Linked DNA regions of Macaca fascicularis. Each later gene encodes a partner of the first gene's protein in a complex. Links are inferred from orthologs where the notes say so. Each region holds a gene or a part of one and is shown on either strand. Other genes may lie near its edges. The genes, in order: SYNRG and AFTPH.

What was found.
Region 2: SYNRG (region 1) and AFTPH share a complex: the UniProt entries of both Homo sapiens proteins name them as parts of the aftiphilin/p200/gamma-synergin complex. The link is inferred for Macaca fascicularis from reciprocal best matches to the Homo sapiens genes SYNRG and AFTPH.

The regions. Positions count from the first base shown.
Region 1 is NC_088390.1:43,469,093-43,479,411, reverse strand, and holds the end of SYNRG (synergin gamma), read right to left. Parts: intron 7,278-10,319; coding exon 7,167-7,277; intron 6,844-7,166; coding exon 6,808-6,843; intron 5,731-6,807; coding exon 5,599-5,730; 3' UTR 1,820-5,598; downstream 1-1,819. UniProt on the Homo sapiens protein: Plays a role in endocytosis and/or membrane trafficking at the trans-Golgi network (TGN). May act by linking the adapter protein complex AP-1 to other proteins. Component of clathrin-coated vesicles.
Region 2 is NC_088387.1:57,353,902-57,364,220, forward strand, and holds part of AFTPH (aftiphilin), read right to left. Parts: intron 5,267-10,319; coding exon 5,115-5,266; intron 3,724-5,114; coding exon 3,597-3,723; intron 3,190-3,596; coding exon 3,133-3,189; intron 1-3,132. UniProt on the Homo sapiens protein: Component of clathrin-coated vesicles.

The DNA.
Region 1 (10,319 bases):
GCTAGTCACATTTTTAAAATTAACATTTTGGAATAGTGTTTATGAAAATCTTTAGCTTTTAATCATTTTTATCAATTTGAACAGTTTAATAAACTGTTTGGTTCTGCTCTCTTCTGAATCTCATGCCTTTGGCACCTTGGTAGGTGCAGGAGGAGCTCAGTGCAAAAATCACTTTGGGGCCTCATTAACCCTTTAGAGACAAGCTTCGCCCCAGGCTGCTGACCAGACAGATGCTTAGGGAAGGTTGATACCAGCTTCAGTCTCTACTGGATTAGCCCTACTCTTTCCTTTCCCCTCTATTATTTAGTGACTCTGTAAGTTAAATACACCCTTATTATTTAGCTGTTAAGTAACTATAATGAAATCTGCTGCAAAAACTCTTGGAATCCATGTGCCCAGGATTATATTAGCATTATTTTTAATAAATCTATATGCTTAACATTAGAATTTTTACTAATAATTTCAGGATATGTGTGTGTGTCGATGATGGAAAAAAAGGTGCTCTCCAGTAACTGCTAAAATACGGCTCTTATGACAGTTGTGAACACCACTTAAAATACACATCCCAGCAGAGTCCTGTCGGCGCTTCACATCCTGGTGGGTGGCAGACACACTGTCCCCAGTGCTGGGCGGTGGGAGATAAGAGTGCACGCTCTGATCGGGGTGCTAGTTTTGGTTTCCTCTTGGTTAGTGGAGCACCCCAAAGCAACATGTCCTCCATCAGAGAAACTGGTTTTCAATAAAAGGTGCCTCTGCTCAACTATTACTACCTACAAAAATGCCCTAAACCAAACCTCAGTATAAGCGATAAGCAAATAACAAAAAATGGCTGCCTTTAACTTTGGAAATGTCACCCAGGTCACTGCTCCTGATAAAATGGGCGGCACCGCTCATCAGGTACACGGTAGAAGGTGAATGAGCTCGCCTCTGTCCCACTCCTGGGACACAACTGGGCGAAAGCTTTCCACATGCCCCCAAATAACCACTGTCCTAGGGCGTGCCTGCCTTCTGGATGGAGGGCCTCCTGGGAGTCTGCCCGTGCGATGGGAACCGGTCGCAGCCCTGCTCTTTGGCCTCATTTGTCAGGGACGTTGTAGCTTGCGCACCAGAGGAATCGTTTTCTAGATTTTTTGGGTCCATTTTGGCAGGAAGCCATACATAGGCCAGTAGCTACATACTTAGACAAATATCCACGAAACATTTTACCTGGTTTGTGGCAATGGTTTTTTCCATCTAAGTTCTACCTTTTATTGCTTTATACCTCTGGCTGCCCACTGTTATAAACATGCATCATTATTCTCTAGAAAAATTAAAAGGAAAAAAATTAATAGTTTCTATGAGAAATCAGAGGAACCAACAAATGCTGTAAGATCAAAAACAAACAAACAAAAAAACAAATAATCCAGGGAGGCTCTGGCTGCTTTAGTATGAGGCTGAGCTTTGAGTCTGGGAGTTTCTGAATAAGAGCCCCCAAATAACCATTGTCCTAGGGCGAGAAGACACCTGGTGACCGATGTTCTTCGTAATTAATGAAAATCACCTGTAGAATTCCTGGCAAGCAGCACTGCGGGGCTGTGACTAAGAGTTCTTCGCACACAGGAAGCTGAACACCTTTGTAATCTTAAGTGCGTGGGCCCCTGTTCATCCTCGTGACTTGCATCTACGTGAAATCAACCCAACAAAGACAAGACCAAGAAAAGGTCTAGTAGCCTGACATTCTTCTACACTTGTATTTTGGTGAGGGAAGTTTAACAGTGGGTGATTTCAGAACAGACCCTGAAAATATTTTAAAGGTAAAGCTTTATAATATCTAAACATATCAATTAGAGCAGTTGTTTATTAAAATATGAACAAGGGAAAAACCACACCATCTTTTAAAATTACAGGCCTGAATTCCACATCACACAGAAGACAACGCATTTTGCTACAGACCACAGCATTCACTGGTTAATAACGCCACAGCTACAAAGTAATGAGATGTCCCACAAGAATACTTTTTTAACCACTTATATTCACATCAACATATAAATAATGGAATTAAGTAAAAACTTCATTATAATGCTATTTTGTTAGAAAAGTATTCGTAAAGTGGCATTTCTCCCCCCAAGAGCTGTTTCACTTAAGCTTTATTTCCTCGGCCTTGCAAGGGGCGGGCCTTTCAGTATTGTTATTTGGTGCACACTCACCTGAAGAAATAAGTAATTTAAACTTAAAAAACACAGTCGACACACATCTTGCCCTGCATTCTGACATTTGCTGGAATGGTCTACAGCAGGCTACAGTGCTCCCTTCTGAATGGCAGATGTCTGAAAATGTCAGTTTATGAACTGTTCACAAAGGCAGGCATTTGACCTCAAAGGTGTTCAGGGGAATTTTTGTAGTGGTCCCCAGTACAGGGCCAGCATCTCCTATTTCTGTAACATACAGCCCTATAATCTTTGCAAAGCTGAAGTACACATTAAACAGGCAAACAGAAGACACCTTTAAACAAATAAGACCCCCAAAACCCTTCAAATATGTGTATGGACACAAAACATTCAAATAATCAAAAATTCACAACCCCTATGAAATGCTAACTAGTAGCCACAGGAAAAATAAAGCATGGAAAATATCCTAATACATCCAGTACCTCTTCTATCTCAAGCATGTCCAGACAAAAATGAAATTACACACTAAGCCATAAAAATTTTAAAGGCAAAACATCCCACCAAAAAAAGAAAAGTGCTATTAATCACCATTCAAGCAGTGGGGTGAAGCGGGCTGACACAATACACAGTATGGAAATAAGTAACCTTGGTTACGGTTTCCAAGGACACGGGGCTCCTGGCTAACAGGAAGAGCTGAGGTGAAGCTGAATGCAGTGTTGAGTCATTATAATAAATGTTTATAAAGAAAAGCAGCGCAATGGTGTCCCACACTCCTTGGATCCCTATTGGTGGCATCTAATTAAACATTTCAAGTATTCAAGAGATATGAAAGGTAGTGAATACTTTTCATAGCAAAGGCTTTTCTGTTGACGTCTGCTGAATTTTCCTGTGGCACCTCCCACGGAGTGACTAAGCCTATCGCTCTTGGTAAGGAAAGTGGGAATTATACTAAGGAATTGTATCTGAGGCATTCTGGAATTTCTCAGGAATAGAAACCAGCCCAGCTAACAAGCTTACTTTTTAAAATGTCGATACTGGGCCACTGTGACATGATAGGCATCTACACAGCATTTCAAAAAAAATGTCTTAGCAACATTTCAAATTGGGAAACTTACTATTTTTTTTTTTTAAGAGACACAGTCTCTCTCTTATCACCTAGGCTGTTGTAAAAAAGAAAGAAATTTTTAACAGTCACTGTCAAGACTCCTGGACTCATGTGATCCTCCTGCCTCAGCCTCCCTAGTAGCTGGGACCACAAATGTCCACAGATGCACTCCACCATGCCTGGCTAATTATTTTTTGTATAATTAGCTGGGGTCTTGCCATCTTGCCCAGGGCTGGTCTCTAACTCCTGGGAAACATTCTTATTGCAAAGGTAGATTCTGCTGTCATGGTTCTGTTATGAAATTTAGGCCAGGCGCGGTGGCTCATGCATGTAATCCCAGTACTTTGGGAGGCTGAGGCAGGCGGATCACCTGAGGTTGGGAGTTCGAGCGTGACCAACATGGAGAAACCCTGTCTCTACTAAAAATACAAAATTAGCCGGGCGTGGTGGCGTATGTCTGTAATCCCAGCTACTCGTGGGGCTGAGGCAGGAGAATTGCTTGAACTCGGGAGGCAGAGGTTGCAGTGAGCTGAGATTGTGCTATTGCACTCCAGCCTGGGTGACAAGAGTGAAACTCCATCTCAAAAAACAAAAAAAAGAAAGAAATTTTTAAGACCAATTAGAAGCCTGCTTGCATTCCAGCTCCATGTGGACCTGGTGCCGCCCAGGATGAAAGCACCGAGGCCTCAGGAAAAGCCTGCCACAAGCTGTCCCTCCTGTGTTGTTAGAAACACCCCATTAGCCTTGTGGTGAGCAAAAGCTCCAAAGGTACCAATTCAGAGCGAGCTGTCTCAGTCAGGAACGGCCAGAGACGGTATCATCGGGAGCGAGTGAGAAAAGCCTTTCTCTCCTCGGTGCCTCTCTCTGCATTGGGGCGAGCAGAAGGTCAAGCAGGAGCCTCAGCAACAGCTGTTTAATGAAAATGTTCCACACCTTTCTTGGAGAACATGGAAAAGCTATAAGACGGACCAAGATAGAATTTGTTCTGAGAAGGGAAAATAAATTATGTAAAAGCAGCAATTATAGACAAGACCAACTTTGTCGGTTTAAAAATAAAAGTCTAGGTCAGAGGGCCTAAACCGCACAAAGTAAAGCACATGAGATTGAAAAATCTCTTCATAAAGCGCATAATCAACAATTCAGAGAGACGTGTGCCCTAGATTGGTACGTTCTTCCTAGGAATAACAGCTCTTAGCCACTTGAGTTTTCCCCCTAATTTTATGCATTCAGATTAAATGGCAAAGAAAATTCCCTACTCCAGGAAGCACGAGTCTTTTCCATCTAAAACTCAGTACTATTTCTGGACAATTTTCTTCTAAGTCATGTATCTATCCCATAAATATACATCTTGATACTTTACACTAGGCCAAGAACTCCACATTTTCACCCTGAATTAATTTTCAGGTTTTTCTCACAGATACTGCAAAGTCAGGCAGTGTTGGTCCCTATGTAGTCATCTTTGGAGATTTGGAGAGCGGCCACTGCCAAGAGATTTCATTCCACTGCCTTTACAAATCTTGTCTGAGAAAACTCCATGGTCACAGTCTTTGCATGCGGCAAAACAGGTTTGCAGTGAAGGCTCCTGCAGGGAAGGATATTATCCTGATACACAGGATTTGGGCCTGTGTGAAAATGAGCATTCTTCAGGACTGCAGAGTGCCATTCTTCAGGACTGCAGAGTGCCATTCTTCAGGACTGCAGGCATGTTTTGGAAAAAAGTCTTGAGCGTTGACAGCAATGAAGGGAAGGAGTAGAGAACTGGTTCAGTTGTGACAGCCAAGTGGGTAAAATCTGCCCTCACCTCCCTGCTACTGTCCAGGGCAGACGGGCAGAATCTTCTCCATAAAAAGCAGAACATCAGTTTAATCGTAATTTCCTCTTTTTATTCATTTCAGACATTAACAAACTAAATGCAAATAAATGCACTCTACTTCACAGGACAGTAAGTGTTCTGGGTAAAAACAAGCACTGGCTCCAAGCAGCTGCCCATTCTAGTCCCGCAACAGTAGTTTATTTTTCTTCAAAAATGTCAGTTCTTCACAGTTTCAATACTGCAGCAGCAAGTTCTTCCTTAGATCCAGAAAGCTGTGGTCTGTATTTTAGAAAACCTTAAGAAAAGTAGAGAGAAGTGAGCAAGCTTCTGGCGCCACGTGCCGCTTGAGTGGGACGATTTTACCTGAAGCCCCGCAGACTGGCCGTGGGGGTGACGGGGGCCCCGTCGCTTGCGGTGTTCTTCACATCAATTCAGGGAAGTGAACTGTGCAGCGCTCGCATTCTACTGATTGGTCCCTGTCACCCCGTGGGGTGTCACAGAAAAAAAAAGTCAGTGCTTCACAGAGGAGTTGTTCAGAGCAGGTCAGGCAGGACAAGGCCAGGAGGCTTTGGTTCGACACAGTTGATCCAGAAGTTGGCACAGCTGGCGTGATACTGGTGCCCTCCGTAGGCCAGCTTGAAACTGTCTGTTTCTGAGTTGAATGCCTGCCAGAAATAAACAGAGATGTGGGACAAGTCAGGCTTTTTCTGCATCTCAGAGCTTTTCAGAAACCAACATGTACATCTCTCCAGGTCACAGAGGCTGAGGCCAAAATGGCACACACAAAAGCTGAGTGGGTAGCTACAGGAATTTAAGAGAGAAGGTTTTTTACTGCTAATTAAAGCTATAAAATTGTTACCACTAAACCTAGTTTCGGGAAAAGGCGGCCAAATCTTCCATGGAAAAGGCAGACAGAGGTTATGGGGCGGAGCGGGGGAATCATAAGGGGAACTAAAGTAGCCGAGGGCTGTGGATAGCTTGGATCCCTCACTGTGCTGAAGGAAGCCCTCCTCCTAAGGCTGGCATCGGACTGCGGCATGCAATCCTTTACACTTCTGCAGCTGACCACAAGCCTATCATGACAAAAAATTACAAGAGTTCGAGAACGAGAGTCAGAGAACGGCAGTTAACAACTCTTAGGGTCGAATGGCATTGGGAGCGAATAACTGAATCTACATTATCAAAAAGTCCAAACAGGTATAGAGTTTAAAAAAAAAAAGCCTTGAAATGAATGGGCATTAAACACATAAGAATTATTTCCAGATGAGTAGGCTTATCGGTAAGCTACAGCCAGCCATGGAACAGTAGTCCAAACCTCAGCCGCGTCCTGGGGTTAGTGTTCTAATGCACTGCATATAAACAAAACTCTGAAACACAACTTGTGGCTTGTCTGTTAAAATATGGCTAAATGGCTACATCCTGATAAGCTCTTTGATCTCCTTCTGTGTGTCACTACACCTTCCAGGCTTCCAGAAGTTGCTCGTTCTGTCACCCCATTCATCACAGAGAAAAATAACTGCAACACCAGAAGCCAATTATGAGAAACAAGCATGCAAATAAGACAGAAGTGGAGCCACACAGACACATTAGTAGACTCAATCAAACATTATGGGAACCAGACTGACTCAGTGAAGGATTCATGACTGGAACAGTTCAGGATGCAATGGATGGAATCATCCAATTTGCCCTCCACACTCAAAATTAAAATGGAGACGCTAAGATAAGGTGTAACTGGTTCATACTTTTTTAGGATGTTCTTCTGCAGGCTTCTCTTCTTTCTGAAATAACGTTGAAACCACAGGTCAACAACATTCCCAGAACAGGGCCTCTTGCCTCCGAACACATCCTTACAGGTTCACCCTTTCCTCCTGACCACCCCACTACGTACAGGGTGCTGCAGGCATGAGAGCCGCGTCCACTCCCGCCACAGCTCCCCCGCTGCCCTCACGAGGGGATGTGTCTGCTCCTATCATCAGCTTTTAGGACTTGAGAAAATCCCCACCTCTGGTCACAAACTTCGCAGTAAAGTGGGCCAGATGAGGTCGTCCCGAGTCACGTTAGGGAAGCCCTCTGCCACCTGCAACGAGGCTGCGTGGCTTACCCGGCTCCTCGAGTCCACGTTCAAGAGGCACACTCCACAGGCAAGTTCCTGAGCATTTTTAATCCCAGGCCGTAGCATACAGGAGGAAAAATCCAGCGAGTTTTCATCTGGCTGTGAGGATGAGGATGACAAGACAAACGGGTAAGAAGTCCAGCAAGTCCACACGCTGTTCGCTTCACTCCCTCATTGCTCACCCCCAGTAGGTCTAGCGGCAACGTAAGTACTCTAGCACCACCCCTACAATAATTTAACTTCCCAAACATCCACTGGGAACCCGTCATGCTTCCAGGTGCTAGGAAGGCCGGCACAAGTACAACACGCCCTCTGTCCTCTGAGAACTCGGTCTCGGGTGGGCGCCAGGGAGCCAGTGCAGTGCCATGATTGCCAGGTGTGCTTACTTAGGGGAAGTCCTGAGTGCCAGGGCACAAGGGAGGGGCACTTAGCCCAACCCGAGGAGGATGGGGACTGAAGCCAGAGACTGCTTCCTAGAACTTTTTTTTTTTTTTTTTTTTTTTTGAGGCAGAGTCTCACTCTGTCGCCCAGGCTGGAGTGCAGTGGTGCGATCTCGGCTCACTGCAAGCTCCACCTCCCGGGTTCAAGCGATTCTCCTGCCTCAGCCTTCTGAGTAGCTGGGGTTACAGGCACGCCACCACGCCCGGTTAATTTTTTTTGTTTTTTTGGTTTTTTTTGAGACAGAGTCTTGCTCTGTCGCCCGGGCTGGAGTGCAGTGGCCGGATCTCAGCTCACTGCAAGCTCCGCCTCCCGGGTTCACGCCATTCTCCTGCCTCAGCCTCCCGAGTAGCTGGGACTACAGGCGCCCACCACCGCGCCCGGCTAATTTTTTGTATTTTTTAGTAGAGACGGGGTTTCACCGTGTTAGCCAGGATGGTCTCGATCTCCTGACCTCGTGATCCGCCCGTCTCGGCCTCCCAAAGTGCTGGGATTACAGGCTTGAGCCACCGCGCCCGGCCCACCCGGTTAATTTTGTATTTTTAGTAGAGATAGGGCTTAACCATGTTGGTCAGGCTGGTCTTAAACTCCTGATTTCAGGTGATCCACCCGCCTCAGCCTCCCAAAGTGGTGGGACTACAGGCATGAGCCACCGTATCCGGCCTGCTTCCTAGAACTTAGAATCACCTTGGCTGAGTGTAGATGGGAGCTGCTAGGTGAAGGGGATGGGGTTGGGTGAGGTAGGGGAGGGAAGGATATTCTATGCAGAACAAGCAGCATAGGCAAAGGCCTCTGAGCTAAAGATGGGGTATGGGAAGGAATCTAGAGGGTGGGGGCAGAGCCCACGAAAGGAGGAGATGAAGCCACAGCATGAGGACTTCAAGGAAGATAAGGAGCATCCTGGAAGCCACTAGGGGTTCCAACTGGATCAGCACAGGCCCAGGTTCGTATTATTGACAGATCCCTCTTGCTAGTGTATAGACAATGAATTGGGGGTGGCAATCCTCAAGGCGTGGGTCTCAGCCAGAAGCCTGCTGTAGCAGTCCTGGAGACAGATACCGATGGTCAGAATGAAGGCAGCGGCGGTGGGGAATGGGGAGAAATGGACACGGAAAAGAGCTGCCAAGGCAGGAGAATGAGCAGGCCTGGGTGACCTGCTGGATGGGAGAGGTTGGGGGACCCGGGCAGCTGAAGGGATTCACCATAATAAGACATGTGAAAGAAGGACCAGGTTTGAGGATGGAAGCTGAGGAGAAGAGTTCAGTTTGGTCCAAGCTGAGTTGGAGCCACCTGTGGGACAGCAAAGGCCACATGCTACATAAGCAGGTGGTTGGATAGACATACAGGCCTACTGCTTGCAGAGAGAACTGAAAGTCACCAGCTACAGACCATAAATAGAACAACAGCTAATAAGCCCTTACTTTGCCAAGCACTATACTAAGCTCTTCACATGCATTATCTAATTCACTACACACACACACACACACACACACACACACACACACACACACACACACAGAGAATGGTTAAAAGAGGAGGTCTCAATCTTGGAAAGCTGTCCAGTCACTCTGCTGCTCAGGCTGGAGTGCAGTGGCATGATCACAGCTCACCGCAGCCTTGACTTCCTGGGCTCAAGAGATCCTCCCACCTCAGTCTCTCAAATAGCTGGGGCCACGTGTGCGTGCCACCACGCCCAGGTAATTTTTTGATTTTTTGTAAAGATGATATCTCCCTATGTTGCCCAGGCTGATCTTGAACTCCTGGGCTCAAGTGATCCTCCCAAAGTGGTGGGATTACAGGCATGAGCCCCTGTGCCTGGCCCCGCAGCACACTTTTATTTTTATTTATTTATTTTGAGACAGGGTCTCACTCTGTTGCCCAGGTTGGAGTGTGGTGGTGTCATCTTGGCTCACTGCAGCCTCTGCCTCCCGGGCTCAAGCAATCTTCCCGCCTCAGCCTCCCAAGTAGCTGGAACTACAAGTGTACACCACCATACCCAGCTAACACTTTTTTTTTTTTTTTTTTTTTGAGATGGAGTCTTGCTCTGTAGCCCAGGCTGGAGTGCAGTGGCATAATCTCGGCTCACTGTAACCTCCGCCTCCTGGATTCACAAGGGATTCTTCTGCCTCAGCCTCCTGAGTAGCTGGGACTACAGGTGCCTGCCACCACACCTGGCAAATTTTTGTATTTTTAGCAGAGACGGGGTTTCAGCATTTTGGCCAGGCTGGTCTTGAACTCCTGACCTTGTGCTCTGCCCACCTTGGCCTCCCAAAGTGCTGGGATTACAGGTGTGAGGCACTGTGCCTGGCCACACACTTTTAAGTTTAATCTGCACTAATAACATTTTCTCTATCACTTTTTAGCACTGAGGAAATCCCTCAGTCCTGACCAAACAGGGACAGTTGGTTGCCCTGTGATAGACATAAATAACCCTGAAAGCTAGACAAATAGTAAAATTTAAGAACTAGAATGTTTTAAGTATTTATTACCACTATTTTTAATATAATGTATTTAACTGCAAGTTTATATCATTTGTGTTTGTTTTGTCTTGCTTTTGAGATAGAGTCTCACTCTGTCACCCAGGCTGGAGTGCAGAGACGTGCGTGATCATGGCTCACTGTAGACTCAAACTCTTGGGATCAAGCAATCCTTTTGCCTCAGCCTCCTGAGTGCTGGGAATACAGGTGTGTGCCACTACACCTG
Region 2 (10,319 bases), on another chromosome or scaffold:
CTGATTCTAAAACACACCATATAATATGACATCTATATCCTTCAGTGTAAATGTAATGTTTGATCCTGATCCCTATGACGGCACTGGAAACTTAGTTCCTTGGACAGGCAAAGCAGATATACAGCCTTTTTAGAGAGGAAAACATCTTACAGGTTCCACAGGGTTTGTTACAAATCTAATATACTTTTTTTTTTTTTTTTTTTAATTGAGATGGAGTTTCGCTCTTGCTGCCCAGGATGGAGTGCAGTGGCGTGATCTTGGCTCACTGCAACCTCTACCTCCTGGGTTCAAGCGATTCTCCTGCCTTAGCCTCCTGGGAAGCTAAGAAACAGGTGTCCACCACCATGTGTGGCTCATTTTTTGTATTTTTTTAGTAGAGATGGGACGTTGGCCAGGCTGGTCTTGAACTCCTGACCTCAGGTGATCCACCCGTCTTGGCCTCCCAAAGTGCTAGGATTACAGGCGTGAGCCACCGCGCCCGGCCTAATATGCTTTTTGAGTAAGAAAGATAGATGTTCAGTATGGCTACAGAAATAGGAAAAAAATCAGTATTTTTCATCAACACTCTACCAAACTCAAAATGGGCCATAATCTAGGTCTGAAAAAAGTCAAACTGTTACATGTTTTAAAATAATATCTGATAAGCTTTTGAATATTTTTCAATCAAAGGTTATATCCTAGACAAAATCACCCTTAACTGGACCAAAAAGAAACAAACAAAACAAAACTCAAAGCTGCTAAGTCATTAATGTTAGAATCTGTAAATTTCTAAAATTTTCAGGAGAATCCCTGCCTCCTCCCTTCCCCAATAAAATAGGCGTAAACTAAAACAGTTTGCAGAATCAATTCTTAACAGTAGCACATCTGAAAGGCTTTAACCCAGCAGCTAGAAAAATGAAAGAAGTTCATGGCCTGACTCAATACCATAAGTATTATACAGGCTCTCTAGTGTGCCCGTATGCAGAGTCGATACATTTGGTAAACAATTACTAGTCTCAGCCAAGGCTTGTAATTTGAATGATCACTTTAAGCAGTGGTTCTGAAATTGTGATCCCCGATCAGCAGCTTCTGTGTCACCTTGGAACTTGTCAGATGTACAAATTCTCGAGCCTACCTCAGAAATATTGAACAAGAAACGGGGGTGGCGGGGGGGTGCTCAGCAATTTGTGTTTTAACAAGTCTTCCAAGTGATTCTGATACACATGAAAGTTTGAGAACCAGTGGCTTAAATGATCATTTCAGGTACTATTTCTCCAGGTGAGATCAAAAGATTATTGAACATCTCATACATGTAAGGCACCATGGGTAAAGTTAGCTATAAATTAAAACTTGATATTAAAAGAAAGGTTTCTAAATGAAAGATATCACAAAGATGGAGGAGGGGAGATACATTTATATTCATTAAACTTTAGTATTAAAGCTTATATAGAAATAGTAGCTATAGGTATGAGCTGATAGATGTGAAAATAAACTGGAAAAAAGGTGGCGGGGAGGAAAGAAGTGGAAAAAAAAGCCCATAGAAATAGTAAAAATATTTTTTTTTTTTTTAATTTTTTTTTATTTTTTTAATTAAGTAAAAATATTTCTAATAAAGGTTGAAAAATAAAGCATAAGCTTTAGCTTCTAACTCCTCACAAACCTCACAGAACTGGTTAATGGGGTGAGGCTACACATTAGCATTAAGTAGGTCACTGCCCTTAATATGCTGAATGAAAGTGCCTACAAATTAAATTCCTAGTTCCATAACATCAACAACCTCTGGAGTGCTACTCCTTGAGAAAAAAAGAAATCCAAATAACCAAAAAGTTAAAGAAATGTTCAGCATTATATTTACCTACAACAGAAAACAATGGGGAATCATCAAAGTGTTTTTAAAGTACATGATAAAAACCATTTACGAAGGAGTAAACACTGATTTAAAAAAAACAAAACTCTAGAAAATTCCACAAAAATCAAAATGTTCCAATTCAAAATCAATAATTAGTGCTTATTCATGGAGAAAGTTTATAGATTTAAAGGTCAAGTTCCACAGCAAATTGTCACATGCACATAATAGGGTTGTATAAATTCTATACCAAAGATTCCTTCATTATTTTTCCCTTATTTCCAATTTAACGGTTAGAGTAATGTTTTAAGTTTGATGGGGCATTTTTATTCATCAATAAAAATATATTTTTTTCATCAATAAAAAAGACACACCAAAAAACACAAACATCAAACTTTAAAATGTGACTGAGTCTTGAGAAGGAACAGAATGAAAATGTCTGTTTTCCGGTACTACCTGGCATATCTGAAAAAACAAAATTCAACACATTTAAAACATTAATGGAAAAACTAAGAACCCATTATAAGTCCTGGCTCATTTTAATTTCACTATAATTTGGTGTTTCTAAGCTTTTATGTACATCTATAGCCTCAATATTGCATTATTTAAAATTAATAACTGAATTAAAACAAATTACATCTCTAGGCCTTCAGATACTTCAGCTGCTTTTTCTTTTTTCTTTTTTTTTTTTTTTTTGTTGAGACGGAGTCTCGCTTTGTCACCCAGGCTGGAGTGCAGTGGCCGGATCTCAGCTCACTGCAAGCTCCGCCTCCCGGGTTTACGCCATTCTCCTGCCTCAGCCTCCCGAGTAGCTGGGACTACAGGCGCCCGCCACCTCGCCCGGCTAGTTATTTTTTGTATTTTTTAGTTGAGATGGGGTTTCACCGTGTTAGCCAGGATGGTCTTGATCTCCTGACCTTGTGATCTGCCGTCTTGGCCTTCCAAAGTGCTGGGATTACAGGCTTGAGCCACCGCGCCGGGCCCCAGCTGCTTTTTCTTTAAAGCAAGTTTAGAAAAGAAAAAGAATCCTCCAAAGGTGCATTTTACAAACAGTTATATATGCTAATATTAGTAAGATAAAAATTTTCAATCTAAAACAAAACAGTATCTGTAATTAATGAAATATTTTAAAAGTCCTGCGATCAGTATTTGATGGGATTTATGAGTTCAAAAAAGATCTATTTATACCCTTCAGAATCCAACACTAAACGTCTCTTATATAGCATGACAGAGAAGTATATTTTAAGATGATTTTACAGAATAAATGCAGTAATGATAAATACATGCAGAGAGATTTTTGTACTTACCAATCCTGCTGCATACATGGGCACTATAACAGGCTGCTTCTTATTGCCCGTGAAGAGCTACACACACGTGTTAGACAGACAGAAAGAACATATATTTAGAGAATAATCTATCATACAATGAAACAGTTTCCAAATATGCTTGCGATGTTTTATTACATATATTGGGAATAATAAATTGATGAAACTTAAAAATTGCCCATATGGGGTCATTTTATCTCCCAGTCCAATTCCTTCATTTTATATTTAAGAAAAACTACTAAAACAATTTTTTCTAAAAATAAGTATTGAAGAAAAATTTAGGTAGATTGATGTTTAAAAGTCAGCACATTCAATATAAAGGAACATTTAAACCAAATATTTATTTTCTGAGGAACTAGCTTACCACAGCTTAAACAGAAGTATAACAGAATTTTAAAACACCCACAGGTTGATTAAAAGATTTTTCAAGGTACTAACAAACTCACAATGTTTCGGGTGTCTATTCCCAAGGAGCACAAAAGCTTCTTGTTGCTATGGGAGCCGCCCCACTGGTATCTCAAGCCATGTGCATCATGGATATCCTGTAGCTCAGTCCACACATCTAGCAATTCCCTGCAAAGGCCATGATGAAGCCATCAACAATAGGTTACTCAATAACTTTCACCATGAGTTCTACTTACAATATGGCTGTGACATGTTACACATTCCAATTATTCTTGGGTCCAACGTAAGTATATAACTATTTGAATGAAATCAAGAGCCAACACTTACAGTCACTAGAAAAATAACTAAGTGAGGCCAGGCATGGTGGCTCATGCTTGTAATTCCAGCACTTCGGGAGGCCGAGGCGGGCGGATCACCTGAGGTCAGGAGTTCTAGACCAGCCTGGCCAACATGGTGAAACCCCATCTCTACTAAAAAATACAAAAAATTAGCCAGACATGGTGGTGGGCACCTGCAATCCCAGCTACTCAGGAGGCCAAGGCAGGAGAATCGCTTGACCCAGGAGGAAGAGGTTGCAGTGAGCCAAGATCACTCCAGCCTGGGCAACAGAGTGAGACTCTGTCTCAAAGAAAAAAAGATATTTCATTGTGAAATTTCAGAACATCAGCAACAAAGAGATCTTAAACTATAAATTTAATGTGAGAGTAGAATAAAATTTTACCTCCCATCTATTTTTTTTTCTCAGAAGGCTGTTGGAGGATGTGCTCCACCAAAATGGGATCTAAGTGAAGGGAAGTCCCAAGACAACATATGTGTAAGCCCAGACTGAAACCATTCTAGATGGGAGCAGAATAAGGGGTTGGATCACAAGTGTATGAACAAGCTCTCAAAGGGTAGGGAAACACTAATGAAAAAGAGAAGCCCAGGAAGAAGTTGTACTATAAAGAAAACAGTGGCTTAAGAGTAAACAATATATACATGATTATAATAATGAAAATGCCAAATAAGAAATTAACCAAAAACTGATATATGGGGAAGATGAGGGGAGAATAGCAGAGGTAAGATCTAAATTTTCAGTTACCATTCTAAGAAGTCAAAAAATAATATATAACATCAATTGATTAGAATATTGATATAGAAATATAAAAACAAACAGCTCAAAAGAGGCAGGGAGTTTAGGTTTTGACACAATGTTTTTGAGCCTTAATTTTTTTTATTTTTTATTTTTTGGAGATAGAGTCTTGCTCTGTCACTCAGGCTGGAGTGCAATGATCTTGGCTCACTGCAACCTCCATCTTCTGGGTTCAAGTGATTCTTGTGCTTCAGCCTCAATCCCAAATAGCTGGGATTACAGGCATGCGCCACCACACCCTACTAATTTTTTTGTATTTTTTAGTAGGGACAGGGTTTCACCATGTTGGTTAGGCTGGTCTCAAACTCCTGACCTCAGGTGATCCACTGCGCCCGGCCTGAACCTTAATGTTTTAAGATAAACTTATAAATTAGAACTGCTGAAAGTAACAAAAACACATGCTATCTAAAAACTCTCTTCTACTTACCCACTTTCAGGTAAGGCCTCTCTTGTTTTTATTGGCAAAGTGCTTGTTTCCAGCAAGTGCTTCAGGGAAGTAACTTCCTCTTCAGCATCAGGGACAAGTATGGAAGGAAAACATGCTTCGAAAATTCGCTCCAGGCGGTTTAATAAAGCTGTCTGCATCAAAACACCCCCCAAAAGTTTATTTTCATTTAATATTGATATCATAGTAATAGCATTAAAATGCAAACACATGCACACCCTGTCCACTACTGTAAGAACCATCACTCAGATACAGAAAACACTAAGTGAAAAGAACACAACTACTCACGAAACAATCACTCTAAATGATTAATTTAAATAATGATGATGAGCTACGTAGCTGGCAAGTAAAAGCAACGTGCCAAGCAATATACCTGCTACTTTACATGTAGTATCTTAATCTATTACAAAATTCTACAAAAAATAAATTACCCAATTCTACAGTGAGAAAGCAATCTCAATGTGTGAATAATCTGCCCAAAGCAAAACCCAAAAAACCCAGAGAGCATTTATATTCTTTCCACCACACTGGAATGTCTCTTACCACCACTCATCTACTCTAGATTTAGGAACAAAAAGATCGGATGCTTGTGAGAAGTATTATGCTATTATAGCTAAACAATCTTTTTTTTTGGACATAAACACGAATTTTGATAGCCTTTTGGAAATATTTTTGCTGCTAATAGTACAAAGCAAAGTAGGAAAGAATGTCTCAATTTTTACTGATAAAAAATTCAAAAAGCTCATTCATCATTTTGGTGATATGTATTATCTTTTAGATATTCCATTTCTACTCGTCTTTGTTGCATGTCTATTTTTGAATAGAATACTACCTTTCTCCTAAGTAAAGCCTTCATATTCCCCAGAGTAGTTTCACCAAGAACAAACAGATAAATCTCTTGGCATTTTCTTTTACGTATTTTTATTAACTAAAACTTGTTGGATTTAGATCAACTTAGTTTTGGTACCACTAGGTTTACTATACATGTGTAACCTACAATAACATTTATTCCTATTTTCCTATTTCAGATACATGTAATATATTTTCCAACTTAGCCCAGTTTACCATGTAAACATCAACTACAAATACAAATTGTTAGTAAGTTAAAGCCTGCTGTAAGATTAAGTTTACTATTGAATTGACAGACTGTATGAGCAAAATGCCACATCATGGTGGTACTTCCTGCCAAGTAACAAAAACAAGCTGATACTTGATTTCTGTTTTGTAGTGTAGTGAGCACCCAAGAAAATTTAAAAAAAAAAAAAAAAAGGAAAAGGAAAAAATTTCACCTTTTCTTAATCCAAATCTCTTTTGGAAGCTGTATCAGAGTAAAAATTTAACACTGCATAATTAGTCTCAGGGTACTCTTTTGTAATTCTATAAAAGTTACATCATAATTATATTCATGTGTGTGATATTAGAAAAGGTTCTCACTATCAATTATGAACCCTAAGTAAAGGGTAGCCTCAAGATCCCAAGGCTTGTGAAACTTGAGTGCATCAAGGGGCCCTTGCTCTCACTTGCCTCAACAGAGGGAACGGACAGACATTATTTTCAAAGAGATCAGATAACCACCTAATTGGATACATGATTGGCTCCTCCTGGGCAGGGAAGATAAACAAAAAACTCACATATGACCAAATTTTATTTCTCTGTAAATTAAATCTTTCTTGTATCCTCTTTGTTATCTTTTTAATGGGATAGGAAAAAAATGTTTACCACAGGAAGAAAAGAAATGACCCTAAAACACATCGAACCACTTGGGCAATGTTACACATAACTGCCAGGTGTCAAGACACCAGCAAAATTCTCAAATGAGTGGAATGAAGCTGAGGCAAAGAAACATTACCTAATTGCCTCAATTTTTACTTCTTCTTCAGCCTTTTCCCATAAAGGATATAAGTTGAATGGAAATTTCTAAAGAAAGTTTCACATATGTTTAGGATCAGATATTACATTAGATTGCTTCAAATCTTATGTTGAATAAGATAAAGCAGGAGATTAGCAATCTTTTCTTTAGAGAGCCAGATAGTAAATACATTTGGCCTTGTAGGCCATTCGTAAAGGAATAAGCATGGGTATGTTCCAGTGAAACTTATTTACAAAAACAGGCGGCAGGACAGATTCATTCTGTGGGTCATGGTTTGACCCCTTGAGATAGAGCTGTAAATAATAAATAACCAGCATCCATTAACAGCATTGCCCAACATTTTTTTTTTTTTGAGATGGTCTCACTCTGTCACCCAGGCTGGAGTGCAGTGGCGCAATCTCGGCTCACTGCAAGCTCCGCCTCCCGGGTTCACACCATTCTCCTGCCTCAGCCTCCCAAGTAGCTGGGACTACAGGTGCCCACCACCACGCCCCGCTAATTTTTTATTTTTAGTAGACGGGGTTTCACCGTGTTAGCCAGGATGGTCTCAATCTCTTGACCTGGTGATCTGCCCGCCTCGGCCTCTCAAAGTGCTGGGATTATAGGCGTGAGCCACTGCGCCCAGCCCAAAGATTTTTATTAAAATTAAATTTGCTCTGACATTTTACTTTTAAAAGTGTATCAATTTCCGGCCAGGTGCAGTGTCTCACGCCTGTAATCCCAGCACTTTGGGAAGCCGAGGCAGGTGGATTGCTTGAGGTCAGGAGTTTGAAACCAGCCTGGCCAACGTGGTGAAACCCCATCTCTACTAAAAATACAAAAATTAGCAGGGCATGGTGATACACACCTGTAGTCCCAGCTACTCAGGAGGTTGCGGCATGAGAATCGCTTGAACCAGGCAGGTGGAGGTGGCAGTGAGCTGAGATCGTGCCACTGTAGTCCAGCCTGGGTGATAGAGCAAGACTTGGTCTCCAAAAAAAGTATATTAATTTCCATAAGACCAGTTTGGTGGTAAGGGCATCCTGTAACGACTTTCTCACCACTATCTTGTTCTTGGTAATAAATAAGGCCAAATTTAACTTACTATTAGTTAATTCCAGTAAGTAAATGACTGGTATAACACTTCAATAGAGGGCTATAGATCCAGGGGCTAAGACTCCAGTTTCTACATTTATTTTTATTTTTATTTTTTTGAGACAGAGTCTTACTCTGTCACCGAGGCTGGAGTGTAGTGGTGCGATCTCAGCTCACTGCAACCTTAGCCTCCCAGGTTCAAGTGACTCTGCTGCCTTAGTCTCCCAAGTAACTGGGATTACAGGTGCCCACCACTGTTTCTGCCCAGTTTCTGCATTTATAATCTGGAGATATCAGGGTCTATCTACCTCATGAGGTGGACGATAATTTAGAGGATTAAATACTTGGCACCCAGGGTGTCAGAGGTGGCAGTTTTTATCATTACTACTGTTATTATACAGATGATACATATAGACACAGGTGGCTTGCCAGGGAATTAAATAAATGAGTCTCAAAACTAGAATCAAAGCTCACTAAGAATATTTCTCTACCATGATTTAGCATTCTAAATCACTATGAAAATACTTATCTCAATTTATCAATTTCTACACATTATAACAAGAAATTAATCCAAGTATTGTACATCCTTCCCAAGGTCATCCCTGTTGAGTTGGGAGGAAAAAAAAAGTACCTGGTTTTTAAGTATCTATTTTTAAGAGTCTCATATAAATGAAACCTGCTATGGTTACTCCTTGTAGAGTTTACATTTTGGATATTGGTGGTTGGCTTATTGGTATTATGACTTAAATCTTGATTGCATTATGAAACACAAAATGTGTAAACCACACATTAGGCATTAAGAATACTTTGCTTCTCAGCCAGGCACGGTGGCTCACGCCTGTAATCCCAGCACTTTGGGAGGCCGAGGCGGGCGGATCACGAGGTCAGGAGTTCAAGACCAGACTGACCAACATTGTGAAACCCCGTCTCTACTAAAAATACAAAAAAATAGCTGGGTGTGGTGGTGGGTGCCTATAATCCCAGCTATGTGGGAGGCCGAGGCAAGGAGAATCGCTTGAACCTGGGAGGTGGAAGCGCAAGACTCCATCTCAAAAAGAGTACTTTGCTTCCTAAGAAGCAAAATAAAGTTAAACATGCAAAAATGTGATGTAACACAGTCCAAATAACTTGGTAAGTAGAACAGTTACAAGAATATAACTAATATAATACTCAGAAGAAGAGAAGTTAAAATAACCTACCACAAGAACAGTTTCTCTTATGACCAGACAGGTTTTTTTCAGGAAACAGATTTTCCCAAACAGATTGTTAATCAGACACTACTTTTTTAAAAGAAATCATTGTTATTTTGAACATAAAATTTGAGCACTTGGGATAAAAGGTGTATCAAAACTGTGAGAGTGGCAAAGGTTTCAAGTTTGTTTTTCAAAAAATTTTTTGGGGGTACATATATTAAGTATTTTAATCTGTTTTAAATTACAATCATCCTCTCAATATCAGCCAAGGATAGTTTAACATATGCATATAAATTAGTGGTAAAATTCAGTATCACATCAAAACTCAAGTTAAAGTAAAATATTAAACTTGGATTTCTTCTTATGAGTAAAAAGGTACTTTGCTTATATTACCCTGCTTGTGTGAACTCCTATTTCAATACAGAGTACATGTAGCCATAATGGGAAATCTACTGGTTTTGATTAGGTGGGGGCACAACACAAATCTTCAAACTCCTTGTAGCAGATTAATGCAGAAAAAGGTTGCATCAAACAGTGACATTTATTAACATATTACAGTACATGTGGACTTGAATTAGATGTAAAATTCCAAAAAATAGATACTTTATTATTTAGAATTGGTGAAGTGAGACTGGCTGAGCTCTAGTTTCCTTAGGCACATAAGGCAGTATAGGTAAAGCAAACAATATTATTTTAACCCAGATCAGGAAAGTGGGAGCCTAAATTCAGCAAAAGATCAAAAGATGTACTCTGAAACCTACTCAGAAACTGCAAAAGCTTGCTATGGTGCATCATAATTTTCATTCAATGTTCGCATAGTGCCTACCACGTGGCAGACATTACTCTAAATGCTTTATAAATTTTAGCTCATTTAAGTTTCAAAAGAACCATGTGAGGGAGGTAATAATATTATCTCCATTTCCTGGATGAGAAAAGCAGAGCAGAAAGAGGTTAACTTTCCTGTGGTCACACGAATATTAAGTGGAGAGGCTGAGTTCCTACCCAGGAAGTATAGCTTCAGAGTAGGTGCTCCTAACCACTATATTATGT